Linked DNA regions of Neurospora crassa OR74A. The protein of the gene in region 3 purifies or fractionates together with the protein of the main gene of each other region. This does not show direct contact. Links are inferred from orthologs where the notes say so. Each region holds a gene or a part of one and is shown on either strand. Other genes may lie near its edges.

Evidence for each region. The genes of interacting proteins can lie anywhere in the genome.
Region 1: the proteins of eat-5 (region 3) and qcr8 purify together in Saccharomyces cerevisiae (affinity purification with mass spectrometry; 3 studies listed by BioGRID, with this or other methods). This does not show direct contact. The link is inferred for Neurospora crassa OR74A from reciprocal best matches to the Saccharomyces cerevisiae genes COX13 and QCR8.
Region 2: the proteins of eat-5 (region 3) and fes-1 purify together in Saccharomyces cerevisiae (affinity purification with mass spectrometry; 3 studies listed by BioGRID, with this or other methods). This does not show direct contact. The link is inferred for Neurospora crassa OR74A from reciprocal best matches to the Saccharomyces cerevisiae genes COX13 and RIP1.
Region 4: the proteins of eat-5 (region 3) and cox-4 purify together in Saccharomyces cerevisiae (affinity purification with western blotting; 6 studies listed by BioGRID, with this or other methods). This does not show direct contact. The link is inferred for Neurospora crassa OR74A from reciprocal best matches to the Saccharomyces cerevisiae genes COX13 and COX4.

What each region holds. Positions count from the first base shown.
Region 1 is NC_026505.1:5,787,580-5,792,521, reverse strand, and holds qcr8 (ubiquinol-cytochrome-c reductase chain VIII), read right to left. Parts: upstream 3,021-4,942; 5' UTR 2,921-3,020; coding exon 2,859-2,920; intron 2,723-2,858; coding exon 2,697-2,722; intron 2,447-2,696; coding exon 2,269-2,446; intron 2,147-2,268; coding exon 2,089-2,146; 3' UTR 1,782-2,088; downstream 1-1,781. Other genes in the region: NCU08946 (hypothetical protein), read left to right, coding at 3,606-3,929, 4,007-4,513. UniProt on the Saccharomyces cerevisiae protein: Component of the ubiquinol-cytochrome c oxidoreductase, a multisubunit transmembrane complex that is part of the mitochondrial electron transport chain which drives oxidative phosphorylation.
Region 2 is NC_026504.1:1,784,701-1,790,385, reverse strand, and holds fes-1 (ubiquinol-cytochrome c reductase iron-sulfur subunit), read right to left. Parts: upstream 3,981-5,685; 5' UTR 3,774-3,980; coding exon 3,500-3,773; intron 3,175-3,499; coding exon 3,086-3,174; intron 2,964-3,085; coding exon 2,813-2,963; intron 2,692-2,812; coding exon 2,510-2,691; 3' UTR 1,782-2,509; downstream 1-1,781. Other genes in the region: dim-8 (DNA damage-binding protein 1), read right to left, coding at 4,461-4,772, 4,841-5,685. UniProt on the Saccharomyces cerevisiae protein: Component of the ubiquinol-cytochrome c oxidoreductase, a multisubunit transmembrane complex that is part of the mitochondrial electron transport chain which drives oxidative phosphorylation.
Region 3 is NC_026501.1:1,849,738-1,855,209, forward strand, and holds eat-5 (encodes anonymous transcript-5 protein), read right to left. Parts: upstream 3,036-5,472; 5' UTR 2,840-3,035; coding exon 2,668-2,839; exon of another isoform or gene 2,606-2,667; coding exon of another isoform or gene 2,581-2,605; coding exon 2,556-2,580; intron 2,266-2,555; coding exon 2,098-2,265; intron 1,949-2,097; coding exon 1,903-1,948; 3' UTR 1,348-1,902; downstream 1-1,347. Other genes in the region: eat-6 (anaphase-promoting complex subunit Apc5), read left to right, coding at 1-1,347; NCU01961 (DNA lyase Apn2), read left to right, coding at 3,562-3,589, 3,651-3,663, 3,719-3,764, 3,824-5,472. UniProt on the Saccharomyces cerevisiae protein: Component of the cytochrome c oxidase, the last enzyme in the mitochondrial electron transport chain which drives oxidative phosphorylation.
Region 4 is NC_026503.1:512,977-518,941, forward strand, and holds cox-4 (cytochrome c oxidase polypeptide IV), read right to left. Parts: upstream 4,082-5,965; 5' UTR 3,878-4,081; coding exon 3,787-3,877; intron 3,533-3,786; coding exon 3,488-3,532; intron 3,075-3,487; coding exon 2,916-3,074; intron 2,855-2,915; coding exon 2,754-2,854; intron 2,691-2,753; coding exon 2,526-2,690; 3' UTR 1,777-2,525; coding exon of another isoform or gene 1,015-1,776; 3' UTR 821-1,014; downstream 1-820. Other genes in the region: NCU05688 (hypothetical protein), read left to right, coding at 1,015-1,776; NCU16615 (hypothetical protein), read left to right, coding at 5,059-5,379. UniProt on the Saccharomyces cerevisiae protein: Component of the cytochrome c oxidase, the last enzyme in the mitochondrial electron transport chain which drives oxidative phosphorylation.

The DNA of each region.
Region 1 (4,942 bases), on a different chromosome or scaffold from region 3:
ATTATAACTTCACGAAGCCCAGCACGTGCAATTAAGCACTGATAACTCCCGGCCATATCATGTATATGCGCCGCCTTTATTATCGGGGTTTCAGTTGGTGATGCCGTCGTGGTTGTGAAGAGCTCCCGTCCTGGATGTTTTTCTCTCTCTTCTCCAATTATCGAGGAGTGGCGCCCAGCTATCACAGACAACGACTTTACATACACCAGTCCAGTCCAGTCGCCAACACAACGGGACGCTAGCCGAACAGCACGGGGAAGGTAACGACTAACGAGACAACAACGGCGGCGGCTCAGTGGCTGTTCACCAGAAATAATGGGCTTCAAGACAAAAAAAAAAAAAAAAGGGCATCTCGACGGGGTTTTCCAGGGGTGCTCAACAAATGCCAGGCATTTCATCCACTGAATCCATTCACGTGTTCCTCCCGACTGACTTGACAACGAGCGGACGAGCGAGCGGGAAACCCGATCGACCTGCCTAGGCCCCCTCTCCGTCGTCGGCCATCTCGATGAATGGATGGATGGGCCATGGCGGGGTGGGGGTTCCACATCCACAATTCACAGCGCGAGCTGCTGCTGTCAGTCAACAACAACAACACTGCAGGCGACAAACTGACCTAACCACTCAACATCAGCGCCGACACAACATGGGACCTCCTTGGTTGGATCTCTTTTTGTTTGGAGGGGGATTAGCGACGCCAATTGATTAAATGTGAACCAATTTTGTTCTGGGTGTTTGTATCCTCATTATCATTCAGTCTCTCGACAATATATATGTTATATAGCTTGGAATGGTCTGTGCAAAATTAATAACACGGAACACAATTTCACATGTTCGTCTTTTCCATCTCTTCAACACATAACCCATGCTCCATGTAATCAACCCCGTCATAAAAATACTTCTATGATCTCTTTGCAAAAGCGAACAAATGGCGAGACCCTGACAGCCCAATGCAACTCAAGCGAAAGGAAAAAAAGACTATCATTAAATCATAGAATATACCAACCGAGGTTGTAGGAAAAAAAAAAGAAAAAGGGGGGGGGGGAGGGGGGGGGGGGGGGGGTTCGTTTTGCGCTTTTGGGCCACCCGTTCCTGCATTTGTTTGGTTTCTTTTCATTCATTACCCCTGAATGTTGCGTTGGTTGGGCTGATGGATGTATGGCCGGATTTCTTCACCGATCTGCTCTTTCTTCCACGAGCGTTTCTGGAAAATGCACTGCAGCTAATGACATGACTAGGCACCATACCAATAGTAGTTGAGAACTAACATGTACTTATGCCTACTTTGGAATGTTGCCCTGGAAATGCGGTCTGGAAGTTGGGGCTTAGTGCAGTGCCATTGTTTAGTTTTGAATTTGAATATAAAATGGCTTCGAACATACCTACCTCCCGTCATTGTTTACCTTGGATAGGTATCGGCATCTACGATGATGAGTTTGAAGGTGAAGTATTCACAGTCCTATTCATGGAGGTGAGAATGCTGAGCAGGGCTGGTTAGCTTGTCCCGGGAGAGGAACGGTATATGAACTAGGACGTTCGGCTTCACAGGCGTGGTGATACGTCATAAGGCCGGGCGCCGCTACAGTTTTCAGCCTTCCAGCGTCTGACATGCTTCCAGAGGCGAGAAAGAAAATCAAACTCCATGAAAGGAACCGGCTCGCTACCTCATGGTTCTCCTCGCAAGATCTAGTGCAGCCAACGAGCACCAAGCGCCGAAAAGACTGGCCTGCGGACCGGCAAGATGCACAATGATTGTACCCAAAGACAAGAGAACTGGAGCTAACCAAGGGAATGTCCGGATGATGCGTGGATAGATTAGGATCGTGACAAGGCTGGAAATCACATGCGATCTGTCGAGCCGAATGTAAACAAGAAACGACTTGGTGGTGGTGTTTCAGGTGTCGTATGAGATCCAAAACCAGCACATGCCGATACCCATAAGAGAGGTCCATGTCTTGTCTATGCCAACTCCAATTCGAACCGCGTGGGAATAAAGATGGTGATATACAGGTTAGTCTATTGAGTACTAGTTCTCTCTCTCGGGAACTGCACTCTGGTTCCGTGCCCAAGTATCGTAAAGTCCATCGCTTACTCCTCCTGGCCAGCGAACTCAGCACGACCGGCCTTCGAGTTGAGGTAGTGGTTCCTAACCAGCAGAATGCCCTGTTAGAATGTGGCACTCTCTTGAACGACGACAACAACGGTCCCTCCTTTGCCACCCCGTGATCGAAATCCCTCGGGGCTGTGGGTGGTGGTGATGCAACGTACCGCTCGATAGCCCAGTTCATGATGTAGTAGCCGGCAACAAGGGAGGGGGCCCAGTAGAGGAACTGGGAGCTGACACGTCTGAAGGTGTTGAAAACGGCGTCGTGGGCAGTGCCGGCGAGGGGGTTCTGGCGGTTAGGGCTGATACCGTAGGAGATGATGCCCCTCTGCTTCATGCCACCTGTTCGTCGGGAAGAAAAACAACATGGGTTAGATGGTCTTGTTCTGTCTCGGGGGTCGTCTCATCGGTTCGTCAAGGGTTCGGCGTGCGGGCGAGTGGGCGGGCGGTCATCAAGGTTCTTCGTCTTCTGGCTCGACCATCTGTCGTGCCCTCATATTCGCATTCCCTCCCATCCCGGTATTTCCCGTTGTTGAAGAATTGCCGTATGTTTGGTATCGGTGCATCGTCAATTGCAAAGGTTCCTACTCACCAAAGTTACCCCAGCCACCAAGGTAGCTATATCAACATGCACGTTAGCTAACATCCAGAGCTGGATCGGAGGGGGAGCCGGCGCAAAGGGAAAAGGGCGCATCGCCGGTAGCTTGTGCCATGAAGTTCCGGGCTCTTCCAAATCACAAGTGGGAAGACTGACTGGTTGTGCTTGCCGATGGGGGCACCGCCGCCGCCACCGAGCATGGTCTGAGTAGGACGCATCTTGAAATATGTGTTGTCGCGAAACGCGCTATGGGGGGTATCAATCGGGTCGTGGTGAGGACGCAGTCGTCGTAAAGGTTCGGGAAGAGCTTCGCGCGGCGTTGAACCGGGTTTGACGAAGTTCGAACTGAAATCGGTCGACAGTGAGTGGCTGGCACTTCATTTGCCAAGTGCCATGGAGCCGTCACTGGCAGTCCCGTCAGAAACCCGAGTGCTGGAGGCTCAAAAGGGATTAGCATGGAAAGGTACAAGCTACAAGTACCTTTACAGCATCATTCTCTTTCAGCCTCCTTCCGACCTGCCCGTCTGTTGAACAAAACAAGGTGCACGGACCATTAGGATAGGTATTGAATCACCATACGCAAGCACTGAAAGACATCCCCGGGCCATGCGGGGAGCTTGAGAGAGCTGGGCCTGGTCCGGGCGACGGGACATGGCACTCCACTTTTTGCAGAAGCTCCATCCATCGCAACGACTGCTGCTTACTGCTGCAACTGGGGAAGCACCACCACCACCACCACGATCCACGCCACGGTCCACGCCGTAGTGTTTGTAGTGTGATAATCCCACAGCCCACCTTGAGGTATCCCCGGAAACGACGTCCACGAATACTCTCGAGTCAGATCCCTCACCACCACATCAACCGAGTTCGATCCCTTAATCTTGATTCAAACCGATATTCACAATGGCGGCAAGAGGGTTGGACATGATCACCAAGTTCGCCATCCCGGCAACTGTTGGTGTGGCTCTTCTCCAGAACTCCATCTACGACGTCAGAGGTGGTTCGCGGGCGGTTATTTTCGACAGAGTTGCCGGTGTGAAGGACACGGTCGTCAACGAGGGCACACACTTCCTCATCCCATGGCTGCAGAAGGCCATCATCTTCGATGTTCGCACCAAGCCTCGCATCATCCCTACCACCACCGGCTCCAAGGATTTGCAGATGGTCAGCTTGACGCTCAGAGTGCTGCACCGTCCTGAGGTGCAGGCTCTGCCCAAGATTTACCAGGTGCGTTTACAAGAACTTGCCCCTTATGACGGCTACGACGGATCACAACGAACTTGAACTGACTGGAATCCCCACAGAACCTCGGCCCAGACTACGACGAGCGTGTCCTCCCCTCCATCGGCAACGAAGTACTCAAGTCCATCGTCGCCCAGTTCGACGCCGCCGAGCTCATCACGCAGCGTGAGGCCGTCTCGCAGCGCATCCGCGCCGACCTCGTCAAGCGCGCCGCCGAGTTCAACATTGCGCTCGAGGATGTTTCCATCACCCACATGACCTTTGGCAAGGAGTTCACCAAGGCCGTCGAGCAGAAGCAGATTGCGCAGCAGGATGCCGAGCGTGCGCGCTTCATCGTCGAGCGTGCCGAGCAGGAGCGCCAGGCCAACGTCATCCGCGCCGAGGGTGAAGCGGAGAGTGCAGAGACCATCAGCAAGTCTATTGCCAAGGCTGGCGATGGTTTGATCCAGATCAGAAAGATTGAGGCGTCGAGGGAGATTGCCCAGGTGTTGGCTGCCAACCCCAACGTGGCGTACCTGCCCGGAGGTGGCAAGGGGACAAATCTGTTGATGAACGTTGGCAGGGCGTAAACGGGAGCAATCAGTAAGGGAAAGAGACGAAGATGGTTCTGCAGAAAGGGGACCATGATACCTAGGCTACGGAGGTAAAGGGAGGTAATGACCAAAATGGGACTGTATTATTATGATATGAGCATTGTGTATCTTCCCCGCTTAGGCACTTGTTACAATAGGAGCATGTTTTTTGAACTTGACTTGTCTTTTGTCACTCGAGATGACATCCGATTTGATATTTTGACGGACGTGGGAATGGTGAAGGAATGGCCACTCTTTTCCTGAGGCTCCCAGTTCGGGCAGAGAAAAGTCACAACCATCCGATATAGGATTCCTGAGACGTGATATGCCTTACTAGGTGTATATTATGAAAGGTGAAAACGTTAGACACCCCAGACAGACCTCACACTCAACGCCAGGGACGCATGGATCTCGTAACGCTTAGCG
Region 2 (5,685 bases), on a different chromosome or scaffold from region 3:
TGGCTGTGAGACGGCTTGTTGTATATGCAAAGAGATGGGCTGACCTGTCAAAGGGGAGCCCCGGAAAAAAATACAAAAGAGTGTTTAGAATGTTAAAACGAGTGCAAAGTTCGCAGAACCCCTATCTAAGGAACGAAAGAGTCAACAAGACCAAAGGTGAAAGAGCGGAGTTGGTTAGCAAGGCTATCTTCTCGTCCGCGTTCCGTGAAGAGAGCGGTCATGGTTTATATATACCATGGTCGTAAGATCCAACAACCCCCTGGTCGATGAGCATCCACCATGTGTTCCTTGTGATCTCCCACCAGTCTGCCACAGGCCTTGTACATACCGACCCTCCGGACGAGCCCTTTCATCATTGCATATGTAGTAGCACTGAATAATAACCCCCATCCTGAACCGCTGTCATGAAAGTCGTGAAGCCAGGGCGTTGGCTCCGCTCCAAGCCGGAGCGACATGGCCCAAAAAGGAATTCGGTTCATTGGGCCCGAGGATGTTCGACAGGGGGGATCGATCCGCTGGCCGGCCGGCAAGGCCTCGACTCCATTGTTTCTTCCGTGTAGCGAGCCAACCAAGCTCACATGTCTGAGGTACAAGCGAAGTGGGCATGTGTATGTATAAGTTGCCCCTCTAGTACCGTAGTACCGGGCGGCTTTCGCCTGGGCCCCTTGTCACCAACGACATATCGTCGAGATAGGGGAAATACGAGGATGTAACCTGTTCAAGATGAAGGATGGAAGATTCACCGCTGGGGAAACTGATGATGGAAGGTGGAAAAGGAGTGATGGCCGCTTGGCTACGGAATGCCTCCCGTAAAGCCGGTGCGAGTAAACATGTGATGGTGCTCGGTATCATCGGGTTGTTGTTTGAAACATCCTCACTTGAGATATGCTCGAAAGCCGATATTTTGAATGATGTGCCGCCGTACTTTGAGCATGCACCTATGTTCACTGATACAAGTCCATGGTCTCCCCTCTGCCCTATGTTGACGATCTCGAATGTGGCACGGGCCCGGACATGATCGTAACAGAGGGCAATGTCGAAAGGCAGGCAGCTCAGTGACAGTCAAAGCCTCCCAGCCCAAGTGGTAAAGTAAACATTCGACTTGGTGATCCGTTCATATAAGATGAGACTCCATAAGCGCTTGATTGACTGCGACGTTCACCCACCCCTCACTTCTCGCTTTCGGTGGCATCGGCATGCCTCGATCTCGGTCGCCGTCAATGACCGTGGCGCCTGCCATAATTTATGTTCGAGAACAACTTTGTCCAGTCGTGGTGGGTGAATCGTGGCCGCCATGGTGCCTCGGGTAGTCGGCAAGTCAGATCAGACGAACGATGGAACTTCGCTTGTTACATGACCCTAGGAGCAGCCCCTTTGAGCCGCAAGGGTGAGGGGTTTCGAGAATTTGGTGAAGAAGTGAGAAAGCTGTGTCAAGACGCGCCCGGGAAGGCGAAGTTCAAAAGATGAGGTTGTTTTGTTTGTGGGGGAAAAAGACTCAGAGCAAGGGGGAGCGCATGGGGGTACAACCTAGCCCCTGCAATGAGACTGCAACCCACCCGGCCAGCATTGGCAAGGGGCTATGGTTGGAGGTAGTGCACTAACTATGTGTCGGCTTGAGTAGCGCACAAGATGTTAAGGCGGGCTTCAGATATAATTACGTTCGGAGAATTCCTCAGACGTCAATGAAACAACCAGGGTAAGCTACCGGTTCGCGGGCGTTTCCTTAACTCAGCTACCAGAGTAGCACGGGCGGGTATACCGACTGGGCTTGATTCGCAAGGTTGGCCAAGCTAAGATTAAGTTGTCAACATCTGTAATTCTGGTCGAGCTGCTCTCCAGCAATTCGACATGTAGCCTGTCTGTCCCACACCCGCATAAAAGGCCATTTGTATTTACCAATGCCGTGTTGGATGATCAGATGCGTTAGCATTGGGAGGTTCATCAGCTGACCTATGGTTTCCTCACAAAGCTCTTAGCCACAGCCGACTGCCATGGGTCGAGGAAGACCTTCTCACGGTACCATGCTCCAGTGAGCCTCTCATACAATAGGATTTTCTACAAAGCCAGTCTATAGGAAAACGCAAGGGTACAACACTCAGCAGCAACCTAGCGCCAAGCTCAGCACCAATAATAGGTATGTAGGGTTGCGTAGGTGAAGAACGCAGTTCTGAGTATATAGAAGTTTCCGACTCTCGAGCGCATATGATCGACCGTGACACCTGATTTGCTGTTGTGTATGCGTATGTGTGTCTTCTGTCTATAGGATAGTCGTACGAAACCGCGTCAAGAACCACGGAAAACAAAAATCCCGTTTTATGGTCTATGACATGCTTCCACTCAAGCCCTTTGTCGCAATACCCCCGTACTAATACAATTCTCCCTGTCATCGTCTCTCGGGCAGCAAGGGAAAAAAAAAGTGGACAAGGGAATATCGAGAGGATTCCCTAGTAGGTTTGGTTAAAAATTGTGTCTTGTTTGTTCAATCGGAAAGTTTTGTCTTTTTGCTCGCTTAACCAATGACAAGCTTGCCCTCCTCAGGGAACTCGTAGAGAGGGATCTCGAGGTTCAGAGGGGCAGGTCCTTTCCTGATACGGCCAGAGATATCGTAGTGAGAACCGTGGCAAGGGCAGAACCAGCCACCGTAGTCACCGGCCTCGCCGATGGGAACGCAACCCAAGTGGGTGCAGACGCCTGTTTTGTTCACACACCAAATGTCAGTCTCCCCACATCGTCGTGTATCCAGGATCTGAGCATCCAAAAATGCTATCCTTCGTCTTGTTCGGATCGCAAAGAGGGACATGGAGGGGCGTACCAAGCATGACGAGCCACTCGGGCTTCTTGACACGGTCGGCGTCGGTCTCGGGGTCACGGAGGGTGGCAACGTTGACCTTGTTGGCCTCTTCGATCTCCGCAGGGGTACGGTGACGGATGAAGACGGGCTTGCCACGCCACTTGATGATGACCTGTAAAAGTAGGAAAAGACCGGGGTCAGCATTCCATCATGGTTTGATCGTCGTCGGGAATCGATGTGCCCAGCTCAGCTCAGCCCAAGCCTTTGCTAATCCGGTTTCGTAGGGATCCTTACGTTCTTGCCCTCGGGGATGGCGTTGAGGTCAACCTCAACCTTGGCCATGGCCAAGACATCAGCGGAAGCCGACATGTTCTTGAGGAACTCTGTATAACACGGTCGCCTCGTCAGCTGTCTTTAGTTCTTGGGTGTTCGTGGGTGCATGTGCAAGATGGCATTTTCCCCATGTATCCATGCTTCAACATCGCCCCAAGGTCCAACCATATCCGCCCCGATATCGAAAGTTGTCATAGTGGTCGCAAATTGGTGATCGATGAGACGGAACCGTAGATAGCTCGCCCCACCATAACAGAACCCCCTTGTCGAATCCCATTGACCCGAACCCATCTGTCCTATGCCACCTCTTTGTTTTCCCCAACCTCGAGGAATGTGTGAAGCTTCCTCCTCAAATCCCATCAAGTCAAGACTCACCCTGGATGGTGGACTTGGCGCCGGCGGCGGTGATGGCGCCCATGGTGCCGACCATGAAGTAGGAGAAGAGCATGTTGGTGCTGGGGGGCGCCTTGCTCATGTATTTGCCGAAGTCGGGGACCTTGGCGGCCTTGCTCTCGCCCTTGAAGGGGCTCTCGAAGGTGGAGGACGAGGAACCCTGGAGGGCAGTCGAGGTGGTGAGAGCGCGAACGGCCCGGGCGGGGGCGGCAGCGGCGCGCATGGCGGCGCGGGAAACGATCGAGACGGGCGCCATTGTGTCGGTAGAATTACTCGCGTGGACAGAGGTCGGAGCGGAGAGAGGGGGTTGCGAGAGCGGGGAGATCGAGCGAGGTTCTGCTCTTTCGGAGTCGCGGGAGGACGGTGGACGTGGGCGGTGTTCCGGAGACGGAATTGACGGCTGCGTAATGCGGTCGAGACGACGAGGCCAAAATCACGGACTGAGGTTTTTCTGGGCCGAGCTTGGTTCCCACCTTTCCCGGCATGGGAAACCGCCATAGCTACTGGCTTGTGGCCTGAGGCACTAACCAACCACAGCGTCCGCCCAGCAGCTAGAGAGCTACTTAATGCGCCGGCCCTGATTGGCTGTGACTGCCTGTTCGTCCACTCTCCGGTTTCTTCCGTCGCCTGGTTCGTCCTGTTGGTGGTGGTGATGGTGGTGGTGGGGCTCACCTCAGCGCGTCACCGCAGCGCCCGGACAACTTGAACTGTCAGCGACTCGGCGAGCCAAGGGTGCCAAGACAGTGATGTCAATTGATCTATTGATCATACATAATTCATTCGTTCATCTGAGGCTATTCACAGACTCATCTTCTCTCACCCTATGCAGCCATGTTTTGAGCACAGCACTTATTGACAACACTTGCAACTGCCAAAATCTTCAGCAGCCAAAGCGATGACTTGTAGACATCCAATCATGCACGTTAAGTGTCTAACCGTTGGCTCAGTGCATCCTCCGTAGCTCCTCTACCATATTGCGCATCTGCTCAACGCTCGGCCCAAGACCTTCGCAGATCTCCTTCTGCGTCTTCTCATCCACATCCAAAAACCTCTCCAGCAACTCCCCATCCAGGAACCTGACCGGCCCAGTCGTTCCATCTGCCTCGGGCCCCCTTTCCGCATTGCGGAATGCCCTGTAGGAGTTGAAATCGAGTTCGCCAACTGTCTTGATCACCGCCGCCAGTTTATCCTGGAACCGAAGTAAGAGGTCTTGTTCGCGCGCAATCGTACCAAACATGTAAATACCGCCTTCCGCCTGTTTTATCAAGTCAATTGTTAGCCTTGACCTTGTGACATGATCAATCTGAGAAACAGGCAACTTACCGTGGCCAAGAACGCTCGAGGAATGATGATGGCGTTCGGGCTAGTCTCGACCTTGATCGGGCGTATTTTGTTCACCTGTTCTCCCAGGTTGAGCTCGCTTGTTATCCTCAGTTGCCGCTGGTCCTCCACTGTCACGCCCTCAGCATTGCGTTGAAGCACGATCAGATTGCCATTGGCATCAGCTTCAAGCCAAGACTCGCCCTCAACGTGAGCCACGGCCGTTGCCCACGCAGAATGCCTGTGTCTCGCGCACTCTACCAACTTGGGGGCTTCGGACTTCTCCCCTCCGGTTTTGGCCGGGACGTACTCGACCAGTGTAGCCGACTTCATCATATCAGCAACAGCAATCATGTTGCCATGCACCGCGATGTCGACCGGATAAGTTGTGCACCGATAAGACGCGAGCTTGACGAGATGGGCCTCAGTGCTTGACGTTTCCTCGTACTGGCTGATAACCACTGTCTTGTGGAGTGCAGCCACGATTTTGCTGCCCATGACCGCCAGAGCGCGACAGCCGCCTTTCAGCTCGTGCTTGAGGACCAAGTACGGATCCCGGTTGCTGTCGATCCCGAACACCAAGATCCTACCGCGCTTGTCCGTACCAGCGCCACGGTCAGGATCCTCCAGGAAGCTTGTACCGACGATAAACCTCTCCACAAGATTTCCATAAGAGTCAGGCAGCTCTGCTCGGATGACGTCCTCCACTAGTTCGGAGTACGACGATGTTCCGAGCATGAACTCCTTGCCAACCCTCGCAAATAAGATCTCATCAACCAGCTTAAAAGAGCTGTGAATGATCTCCTCGCCATTGACTACCTCTCTCCTGATACATCCGAGTCCGAAAC
Region 3 (5,472 bases):
TATCATTTTGGCCGAGCACACCCAGATCTCGTCCAGGATCTCGAGGCCAACAGCATGATCGGGAGCGGTAAGGAAGCTCTCGCCTTCCTCCGAGCGAAAGCCAAAGAAACCGGCATGCTCGTGCTCCGGAGTTCCGCCCTCCTTAGCGAAGCCAAGCTCAACATGGCCAACGGCGAAAGCATTGCCGGCGCCATGGAACACCTCGTGCGCAGTTCACATATCATCGTCGAAAGAAACATGAAGAGCCTCATCGGCTCGCAACTATCCGTCACCACCTCGCTCTGGGACCGACTCGGCATCTCCTACCTCTCCACCATGACCAGTGAGGTCTTTTTGCGCGTCCACGCCCCAAGCGCTTGCTTCGACGACGAGCTCAAGATGGTCTGCCGGCTAGCCGGCACCTTCGCCGGCAAGGGCAAGTACAACGAAGCCTTCGCCAAGCTCGAGGACGGCATCGACAAGAACTTGCTCCGCGCCGCCAAGCCTAACCAGTACTGGCACCTCTACCGCGGGCTTGTCAAGCTGCGGCGCGACCTGCACCACAACGACCTCGACACGGCCGAGACGCTGCTCGCGCAGCTGCTGCAGATCGGCTCCGAGGAGCTCGATCCAGATGTGGTGTTCATTATCGACTCGCTGCACATCGAGGCACTGATCCGGCGCAAGGACTTTGACGCCGCGTACGAAAAGATCGAGCGGCTGATCGCCAAGTTTCGTGATGACCACCGGGACTTGTCTCTGCGTATTCGGCTACTGCTGGCTAAGGCGCACCTCTTTGACTGCATGGGCAGACCGGAAAGGGGGTTCTCAATCACCATGCGCGCGGCGAGCCTTGCGTGGCGTGCGCGGCTGCTCACCCTTCTCTGGCAGGCGGTTGGCGCTCTGGCCAACATACTGAATGCGATGGGCGAGTTCACTGCCGCTGTGCAGCTAGTAGAAGCAGTGCTGCCGCGCTCGATGGAGTCGGAGAATGCTTTCAACACAGGCATACTGTATAGTATCCTGGCGGATGCCAGGATGGGACAGGCTGGAAAAGCTGCAAAGGCCAGGCAGGCGATGACGACGACGGGAGAAACAACAGGAGCGGCGGCGAGCTTGATGAGCAACAAAAAAATCGACCTCTTTACGAAGGCACACGAGGCGCTGGAGTGTGCGTTCAACCACTTCTCTGCGGCGGAAGATCTGGAGAAGCAGTGCGAGACGTTGGCGAAGAGGGCGACGCTAATGAAAGTGCTGGGGGATCATGCTCGAGCGGAGGAGTATGCGGCGCGGTATATGGCATTGAAGAGGCAGAGCTCGTCGGGCGAGCATTCTAGTGTATGGTCGACAGATACAGGTACGCCATAATATGGTTTGGGTGGGGCTCAGTAAAGCTCCGGTCGGACGTTTTTATGGAGCAGTTCGGTTGTAATGACTTGATGAGGAATGGAGAATATTGTCGCTGGCCATAGAGGTTGATGTTTGATTTCATCGAACATGGCGCGGATGTGTGCCCCTTGTTTTGTGTCTTTATACCCCTGGTAGAAATGGAAGGAAGCTATGAAGGCTCACTGCACTTTGTCTCATGGAGATCCCCAGCAATAGCAGTAGAACACTGTTTTCGTCCTGCACATGGGCTTCCATCAAGAATAAGATCATATGGATGTCAATGCGAGCCTTTACAAAGGCTGATATCAGAATACAAATAAATTGATATGATGATTGCGGATCAGTAGACGTGGTGGTGCCTCTAGCACTCGTCCTGTTCTTTCTTTTCCACACTTCATTCACAGTCCCATGCCACCTGCTCTCACTACACGCTAGCTGTCCCAATTCTCTTTGCTTTCCAATGATCCAGGGATGATGCCAGTCTAGCAAGCAAGAGCACAGATGGTGCTTGTGAAGCTCGCATCAACAAGCCACTTACGTGACCTTGTCGCGGTTGTGGTAGTTGACAGACTCGTTCCAGCTAAACAGAGTTGGTATCGGTCAGTAGTTGTTGCCATAGAATGAGGCTCCTTCGATGGGGCGGGCTCGACACGCTCAAAGCTCCTTCGTTCAGAAAGGCCATGCAGAGATGCCCGCCGGTTGTGCGAGCTTCGGATGGGTTAAACGTACAAGAGAGTCTTGTCACCATCGCCCCAGGGGTAGTTGCGGGTGCGGATGTTCTGGTAGGGGTACTCGGTGCGCTCCTCAAGGGGAGGGAGGTGGGACCAGTGCTCCCAGTGCTCGTTGTAGAGGGTGTAGGCGTTGTATCCGGCGAGGGCGAGGGCAGGGGGAATGCCGCTGGGAGAAAGGGTGAGTTTCGTTAGCTTATTGTGTTCCATTCCCCTTTTCTGTCCCCCACTCAATCAAGCATTCCGTAGATGTTGACTGTTGATCCCCTTCGTCTTCTCGGCGGTGCACGTCGGCTATGACGTTGGTGTCATGCGCTCGTCGTTGAAGGCGGGCTCCGATCGGAGCTCGATGGAGCTTCATTTGAGCTAGCTGAAGTTCCAATTCCTTCAGAGTCCGAGGGGTCCATCCGGGAAAAACCACGCAGCGGGGATTTGGGGGGTGGGAGGAAATGCGCATACTAGAGAGAGATCTTGCGCCAGAGCTCTATATGGCGACTCCCGGTTAGCATTTCCCGTCCATCGATAATCGGGGTCGGCAATTGACAAGGGCGGGTGGTGGATTAGTGCGCACCGGTGGTCTCAGCGGCGTGCTGCTTGACGGCCTCACGCTCGCGGACGAAGGCGTTCTTGCCGGACTCGTTGGCAGGGGTGCTGGCGAAGCGGCGCTGGACGGTCTGGCGGACCGCGGGGGCGCGAAGGTTGGCGGCGAGGCGCGCGAAGAACATCTGGCGTTGGGCGAACATGGTTTCCGTATTCGTTGTGGTCGACTACAGGTGGTTCGGAGGAGGACTGGTAACGAGGTGGATGCGGAATCAGCAGCAAAGGTTGTAGCAAGCTGGCCCCACTCTTTTCCTCCTGCGCTTGGCGGCTTCTCGTGACTCCGGGTGCGAACTGAGTGAGGTCAGAGACCGATCAGCTCATTGCTCAGTTCGACCTCGGGTGCGTGCGTGGGTTGCGGCTGCTCATGGGGTGTGGCTGGAGTGCACAGACAGTCGAAATCAAGCCACAGTGCCAAGTGCACGTTCCCGTTGAAAGCTTGAGTTGCGCGAGCAGTCGGAATGACGAAAGCAGCTGCCTGTCAGGTGACTTCGTGTGTGGACCGCCCAATTCACCTGCGTAATTCAACCGCACGAGCCAATCGTTCGTTTGTGGACGCCGCGAACTACTTGGCGATGGCTTGGCAGCTAGTGACATCGTTGGTCGTTTGCCGCAAGGTGTGGCAAACTCCAAGAGACTGGGAATATCGATCGATGTAGCGACGTGAGGGAAAGATCAATTGTTCCCGAGACCTGAAGCTCTTGCTCATGCGAAGCCGAACATCGAAGACGTCAGCCCATGTCCCTCTGCTTCTCGTGTGGCCATTGCAATTACAAGCGCCGCATCCGGCGACCGAAGTGACTTTGTTGTGCTATAAACCTGGTAGATCTAGAGAGCTACCTTAGCATCAGTAAAGGAATATCTGAAAATGGGGTTACGGATCACGACGTGGAATGGTGAGATCCTCTTGCGCGTTTTTGCTGCGTTTTGCCTGGTCTAACTCAAACCAATGTGTAGTCAATGGTATCAGGTCGGTCCTAACACGACAAGCCGTCCCTATGAACCAGCTCTGACCCTGCTTCAAGAAACCCATTCAGTTACCAGCCATGGCGGGAGAACCGCACGTTTCAGGTGGGATCAAGTTCCCTATTCAAAAGCCCTATCTGGCCGGATGCTCTAACACAGTGAAGGCCATGTTCGACACCTTGGACGCCGACATTGTGGTCATACAGGAAACCAAGATTCAGCGGAAGGATTTGAGAGACGACATGGTCCTCGTCCCTGGCTGGGATGTGTACTTCAACTTACCCACGTACAAGAAGGGCTACTCGGGAGTTGCAATCTACACTCGTTCCTCGAAATGTTGCCCGATACGCGCCGAAGAAGGCATTACTGGCGTTCTGTGTCCGCCGAACTCGTCCACAAAGTTTCGCGACTTGCCTGCTGATCAGCAGATTGGTGGCTATCCCACTCCCGGCCAACTCTCCAGCGACATAGACGAAGCTCAACTTGACTCCGAAGGAAGGTGTGTCATCTTGGAGTTCCCTGCCTTTGTTCTTATCGGTGTATACAGCCCGGCCACGCGAGACGAGACCAGGATCGAGTTCCGTCAGGCCTTCATCGACGCCATGGATGCCAGAGTTCGTAACCTTGTCTCCTTGGGGAAAGAGGTGTTTCTCTGCGGCGACCTCAACATCATCCGAAACGAGATGGATACCGCTGGTCTACCAGAACAATTGAAAAAGGAGGCCATGACACTCGACCAGTTCATCTCGACCCCTTCGCGCCGGTTCTTGAACCAAATTGTTTTCGGTGGCCGAGTGATTGGTGAGCCAGACGAAGGGCGAGAGAAGCCTGTGCTGTGGGATCTCTGCAGAGAGTTCCATCCAAAGCGTCCAGGCATGTACACGTGCTGGGAAACAAGGAAGAACGCGAGGCCTGGAAATTTTGGTAGTCGGATTGATTATGTTCTGTGTAGCTCTGGAATCAAGGACTGGTTTGTCGACGCCAACATCCAAGAAGGCCTTCTAGGGTCAGACCACTGCCCCGTCTATGCCACCATTAGCGACAGTGTTCGCAGAGATGGTGTCATCATTCCAATCACAGACATAATGAATCCAGAAGGCATGTTCAAGAATGGCCAACGCCAACGTGAATGGTCTCAGAAGGATTGTCTGCCTACCTCCGCCAGGCTCATTCCCGAGTTTGATCGACGGCAGAGCATCAAGGACATGTTCGTCAAAAAGAAAACGCCGTCCAACACGCCCAAGTCAGCCACCCCAGCAGCCGACAGCCAAGATATTTCCGATTCTCCCAACACATCTTCCATCACGGTGAATGCCACTACTGTACTACAGGGGACCGCCAGCTCCGCATCATCGCCTAGGCAGTGGTTATCTCAGTCAACTGCAACCGACCCAGCGTTGTCGCAAACATCCCCCGTTCCAAAACGACGAGCTGAGCAGCCTGCGCCGTATACCAGGCCACCGAAGAAAGCCAAGGCTGCCCTCGCCAAGCAGCCATCCTCGAAAACTGGGCCAGGCCCATCGCAAAGTACACTCATGGGCTTTATCAAAGCGAAGACTCCAACTCCAACCGTCAACCCAGACGAACGACATGGCCCAATAAATGGAAACAACCATTCTCCCGTAACGGCAGCCGAAACAGCATTGCGAAACGAACCATTTACAGCGAAAGGAAGCCAACCAAAGCAAGCTTTCGAAGCCGGCAATGTCGAAGAATGGGACGGAAACGCTGTCGAACACAAGACCAACTCGACAACATATGGAGAAAACAGCACTGCCATGGAGGACGAAGGCAAAGGAAAAACAATCTTCGA
Region 4 (5,965 bases), on a different chromosome or scaffold from region 3:
ATGCAGCATATGAACGGGGCAAGCCATGAAGCAGCCGGGGCATATCATTCCAAGCTATTCCTTAGACATACTTATAGATAAATCTATGGAACCTCGCCAGAGTTTGTTTGCCCATTACATATGCGCCGTTTCATGACCGAGATTGTTTCATCGCCGTACATGTTGGAGTGAAGAGGTTCAGCAACATGAGGTTGATCTGGAGAAAGGTTTAGGGCATGGAGGACACAGAAGGCAGCAAAGGATATATCTGAGATTAATTCGATAGGGACGGGAAATTGATCTGGTATAAAAGACAGGCTTTCTTTTGGTTGGAATCTATTCTTGATTGGTCCCCTCATGAGTGTGTTGAAGTTCATATTGGCGATGTGACGTTGTAAGCTTCCCCGGAGGTTGCACTACATACAGTAACGGCTGAGATGGCCCCGCATTTTCAAGGCCATTGGCCTAAGCTTCTATGTAGTGGTTGAGCGGGTCCATTCCCACCATTGGACCAAACCAGACCAGACCATCGAGGTCCCGTCTCCAGGATAATTCATTCCAGTCGCAGGCTCCCTGTGACCATCGACAATCCAAAATAATTTCCCTCCATTCAAACTACTATCCGATTTTTGGTATCATACCAAGGTATTGATCTCCTCGATCTGGTTTTGTGCGACGCTAGCCTAGTACCGCACTCAGCTACTAAGAACCGGAACCCATCGACCGCTTCTACTACTGAACTACAGTGTAGCGCGCGCCCACTTCCATCCATCCATCGAACAGTACCTATCGCAACGCGACAACCACCTGGCGCATCCACGCGCAAACATCCATCCATCTCCTCGAAGAAGCCACAACGATTTACTTAGCTTTACGAGAAGGCCATCGAGTTGCTCCCTACCCGAGCAGACAGACCATCATCACCAAACCCTACCTTACCTGGCCTGTACCTGGGTACCTACCTACCTACTCAAGCATCCAACCAACCACCCACCAACCCATTCAACAACACCTACATACGCTCCTCAACGCAACATGTCTGCTGGTCCCGGCAGTGGCTCCGGAGGCGGCTCCGCAGGAGGAGGGAAATTCAACCCCAAAAACCTCCACTACGACCGCTCCGCTACCCTCCCTCCCTTTCTCGCTCGGTTGCATGCTCAACATGCCCCCGGGAACTTTGACGGTCCCGATCCGATCCTGGCTGCGCGGAGACGACCGACGAAGAAAGCGAGGAGTGGAAGTGAGGAGGCGGAGGACGCGCCGCTTGTTTTGGACGAACAGGGGAATGTGGTTGATGGAGTGTCTGTGGGGAAGGATGGGAGGGTGATGGAGTCTGGTTCGAAGGTGGAGGGTGAGGGGACCACAGAGGGGGAGGGACAGGGACAAGAGGGGGAAGAGGGGGAGGGGGGAAAAGATGGGAAAGAGGGGGAGGGGGGAAAAGATGGGAAAGATGGGGAGGGAAAACAAGAAGGGAGAGAAGGGGAAGGGGGGGACAGAAACAAACATGGGGAGGGGAGTAAAGAAGGGAATAACAAGATGGCAAAGGAGGAGAAAGGAGTGGGAATAGGAGCGAGTAAGAAGAAGAGAAAGGTAGGGAAGGTCATTGCTGGCGATGATGACTCTGATCAAGAGCAAGATGGGGATGCTAAGGAGCCAAAGGCAAAGGCTGAGGGTACAGATGCCAAAGACCAAAGCGGAAAAACGGAACAGGCAGGGGAGAAACCAAAGCCCAAGACGGCCATGAAGAAGGCTAAGAAAATCAAGCTTAGCTTTGGTGATGGTGATGAGGAGGGTTGAGATGCCGTCGTTATCGGGCTTGGGCGCTGGAAGTACATAAACACCGACGGGAGAAAAAAAAGGGGGGCATGCCGAGAGGAAGGTGTGTGTTCAAGGCTAACAACCACGTCGGCCGGCGCATGTCCCAATAGCAAGTGGAAGGGCGCAAGATGCGCGACCTGGTGACAAGCTTGCGGATGACGAGGGATGCAAAGTCCGAGTTTGTCTATGCCGTTATGCCTGGAGTACTACCCAAGAGCTGTCCGGAGAAAAGCAATAGGGAGCTGTGCCAGAACGTCGTTCCCGATCCTGCGGTGCTCTGACTCAGTGCCAGGCAGAAGAAGCTATCTTGGATGGTCTCGAGTCTTGTTGCTCGGTACCGCAGAGAAGGTCGAGTCTAGATGATTCTGCGAATGCACTCTGAGCAAACAGCCCTAGTAGCAATCCTGAATCTAGATACTGTCACGCCAATCCAACCTCTTTCGAGCTTCTCGATGGTATATACAATTCCATGTTCAGTATTTATTTGGCCCCAGGGTTCTAGGTAGAAATCTACAGCTCTAGGTTCCCGAATGCAAGTCCAATGAGGTAACAACCACCTACCCAGCCTCATCATCACCCCCGTGTTCTCCAGGTTCGCATTCACAGTGCTTGCCTCCCAGTAAACTTGTGTCATATGCATGCATCGTATTTGTCAATGTCTTCTTCTATTAACAACCCACTACACAAAAACCTCAAACCTCCCTTTGCAAACCCCACAACTGGGTAATTTACCAGTACTCGGGCTTGACGTAGTCGGCAAAGGTCTTGGGCTCCTCGAAGCCGTGGTGGTCGTGGCCGTGGTCGTGGGCGTGGTCGTCCTGGGGACCGACGTAGTCCATCTTGTAGACGTTGCCGCACTCGGGGCAGCGCTCGACGGGGCGCTCGCGGGTCATCTATTTTTTGGTTAGAATACTCAATTTGAGCGGTAGAAGAAACAGAGAAGAGAAAAAACTCACGGTGAGCCAGATGACGTTGTGGGAGTCGGCAGGGAAGCCAGTGCAACCGGCGTACTGCTCATCACCGGCGGAGCGGACGGAGATGGGGTTCTCCATGGTGCCTATTTTTCAACTGTCAACCCCCCAGCTCCTCTCAACCCAGGTTATTACAGCAAGTCTTACCCCTGCGGGAGGCATCAAGGGGCTTCATGTCGAAAACGTCGACGCCCTCCATCTTGCCGAGAATTTCGAGACGCTCGAGACCGGTGGCCTGCTCGAGATCGGTGGGGACAGTGCCGGGGGCGGCACCGGGGCCGAAGAGGTCATCCTTGGTCTTGATCTCTGTTTGTCGCGAAAGGTATATATGTCAGTCATGTATGTTTTTTCGTCGTATGCGGTTTCGTCCGTCACCCCGCATCGTCATGGAGCGAGTGGAGGCTATAGGGAAGCTGGGCTGAACTGAGCTACCCGGCCGGTGGAAGCTGTGGTAGATAGGGGAGCCTCAAGCTTGAGCTGGTCGAGGAGCTTCTTCTCCGGTTCGTCCGCGCAATGATAATAACCCCCTCCTTTTTGTGGTCGTCCAATGCTTTCCTCCTCCTTCTTCTTGTTGTTTCATCAAGCTCCCCCAAGCTTGACTAAGCTCAGCTCGAGCTTCGAAAGACCCACCACAGCTTCCAGTTCGCGTAGCCCAGTTCTCCAGCAACCCCAATAGACACAATGGTGACGCAATCGCCGGCGGGGGGAGATCATCATACCGGAGAGACGCTTGATGTGGGGGACAGGCTTGGTCTCGGCGTTGCCTGGAATCAAGATAAAAACATGGTGTCAGTTTTGCGATCGGGATTCGGGGGTTTGTGATTGATGCGCGTTTGGTTGTCGCGAATTGGTTCGAGGTGGTGGTGGGGTCATGATGTCGTCGTCGTTGGTGGTGGTGGTGGTGATGATGCTTATGCGCGGATATTTGCAGCTTCGCGATTGGAGCTTTTTTGGATGCCGTGCTTTTTTTCAGGCCGCAGCCGCTAAAAACCAAGAGACGTTTCCAATGTTCACTTACAGCGCACAACGGTGGTGGCGATGCTGCGACGGAGAGCGGGGGCAGCGGTGGCCCGGCGGGCGACGGCGACGGCGGTGCGGGACAGGAGCATGTTGGCGACGGCGGCGGGTGGGTGGTGGTGGATGGTGTGATGTCGGAGTGACAGAATTGACCGGGAGAGAGCGGAGAGGCGGGAGATGATGTTTTGTCGCTGTCTGTCCGAATCCGAAGCTGGTTTGCCCACACTGCCGTGGGTCCCACAGCTGAGCTGGGCACCACTGCAGTGGACAGAGGCCCCGACCGTGCTGCCCTTCCCTTCTGCCGCTGGCAACTGGCGAACGGGCGGTTGTTTGGTACGAATGGAGGCGCTTGGACCACATTCTGGAAAGCTTCCCCAGCTGGTTGCCAGAAGCAGCTAGCGCACGGTCAGGTGATGCAGCACGTGGGACCGCTCATATCATCAGTACTGTACCATGAAGTGAAGCGACAATTGCGTGATGAATACATGGCAAGAGACTGTGTGAAGCAATCCTAGGTTTCAATTGACTTGGGTACGGCATAGATTATATAATGATTGAGCTAACTGGGAGCAGAAGGAAGAAGGTCTTGATGAAGCTATTGCAGGTTTGACTGGCGTGACCCTAACCCTCCAAGCCCCAATCAAACATCGACAATGCTCCACCCCGTCAAACGGAACTCGGGCTTTCCAGCTTCAAACTACCGGGCCCAATCCGGCTTCCGTGTCCGATAGTGGATCCCCGGATCGGCGCCCTGTGCAAGTTGGAGCGGCACCATTCCGGAAGTGTGCAAGTTATCTTATCCAACTAACTCACGAACGAGAACACAACACAACAAACGATCCACAGCTTCTTCACCACAGCCGGTAACCGCCACCGGTCCTTTGTCAACTCCCTCCCCTCTCACCTCCACCCGCTCCTTGAGAAGGAGGAGCAGAAAGGAAAGTGGTATCTGAAGTTGTAGGGGCTGGGTGGTTGTGGAAGAGGTGGAGGCATGCATGGCAGTGAAATTTCGCATATGAGAGTCGGGTTCGGAGTTTGGGACGCCTGGGAGCTTACACAACACTCGTATTTTACCTTGTTCAACATGGAGGCTCAAGACATGGAAACACACAGGACGTCTTGTTAAGCACATGACCACGCCCTACAGCTACGTACTCCTCTCTCTGCCTCCTACCCACTAAGTAAGATTCTTACCTACATGATACCACCTCCTAGTGGCGGAAAATTCCCACCTCCCGAACACCACCATCCCCAAACCCCAGAGTCCTGTCCCATGGTTCTCGCCCTGTTGAGGCACAGACGATGCACCCCGTTTTTTGTTTCCCATTTTGGAAGTTGGGCAACTGGGGTATGCGGGGAGCCCGTCATGCAGTTACTGTCGTTTGCTTCAGTTGAGCGGTTTTCAGGGTCTTGGATGTCACTCACGTGGTCGATACTAAAACCGGCGATGGTGCTGGATGGCTTGCATACCCCTGACTGGATGAGGATGAGGTGGGTGTCGAGAAACATGCGATATGGAATGGTGAGACAGGGGCTTAAGTCTTGGAATATTCCACGAACCATACCTACCTCTGTTCTAGCCACCCGACCATAGGATCGGGCTCCTGCTTTGTCTTTAGGCATACATTCTGAATGGTACCCAATAAACCAAGGCTGATCAGTCCGGGGTAATCTGAGTAGATCTCCTCGGGCGGAGTTGGTTCCGCGGCTGGGGCGCAAATGGCTCGGGGTCTTCACCCTGTCCGAGGACTCGCTTTTAAACGGCTTTTCGTTTTGAGGATTATGTCAATGGCAAGACTGCCTCTCGGTACTTGGCTCATTGTCAGTGTCTCGGGGTCACCTTGCCCGTTAAAGCATTCATCATGATGAAGAACCGACGATGCACTGGAAAATGAGTTGATTCAACAGGCCGCCGATTTCCTTGCTTATGAAAGGAGCAATGGCTGACACAAACCGATGGCCAATCATCCCAAATTGTAGCGTCTACTGGACGGAATAGTCTCGTGTAACCGAGTGTTTGAAGGGGAGAGGGCGACATCTTCGAAATGGGTGCATGGCGCTGGAGATCATCCCCGGACTTTTCAGGCGACAGGGTTACTGCAAGAGGGAGGAATCAGACTCCAAAAGGCTGAGCAATCTCTGCAGCTGAGGTCCTCACTGACTGGAAATGGTCAGTCACA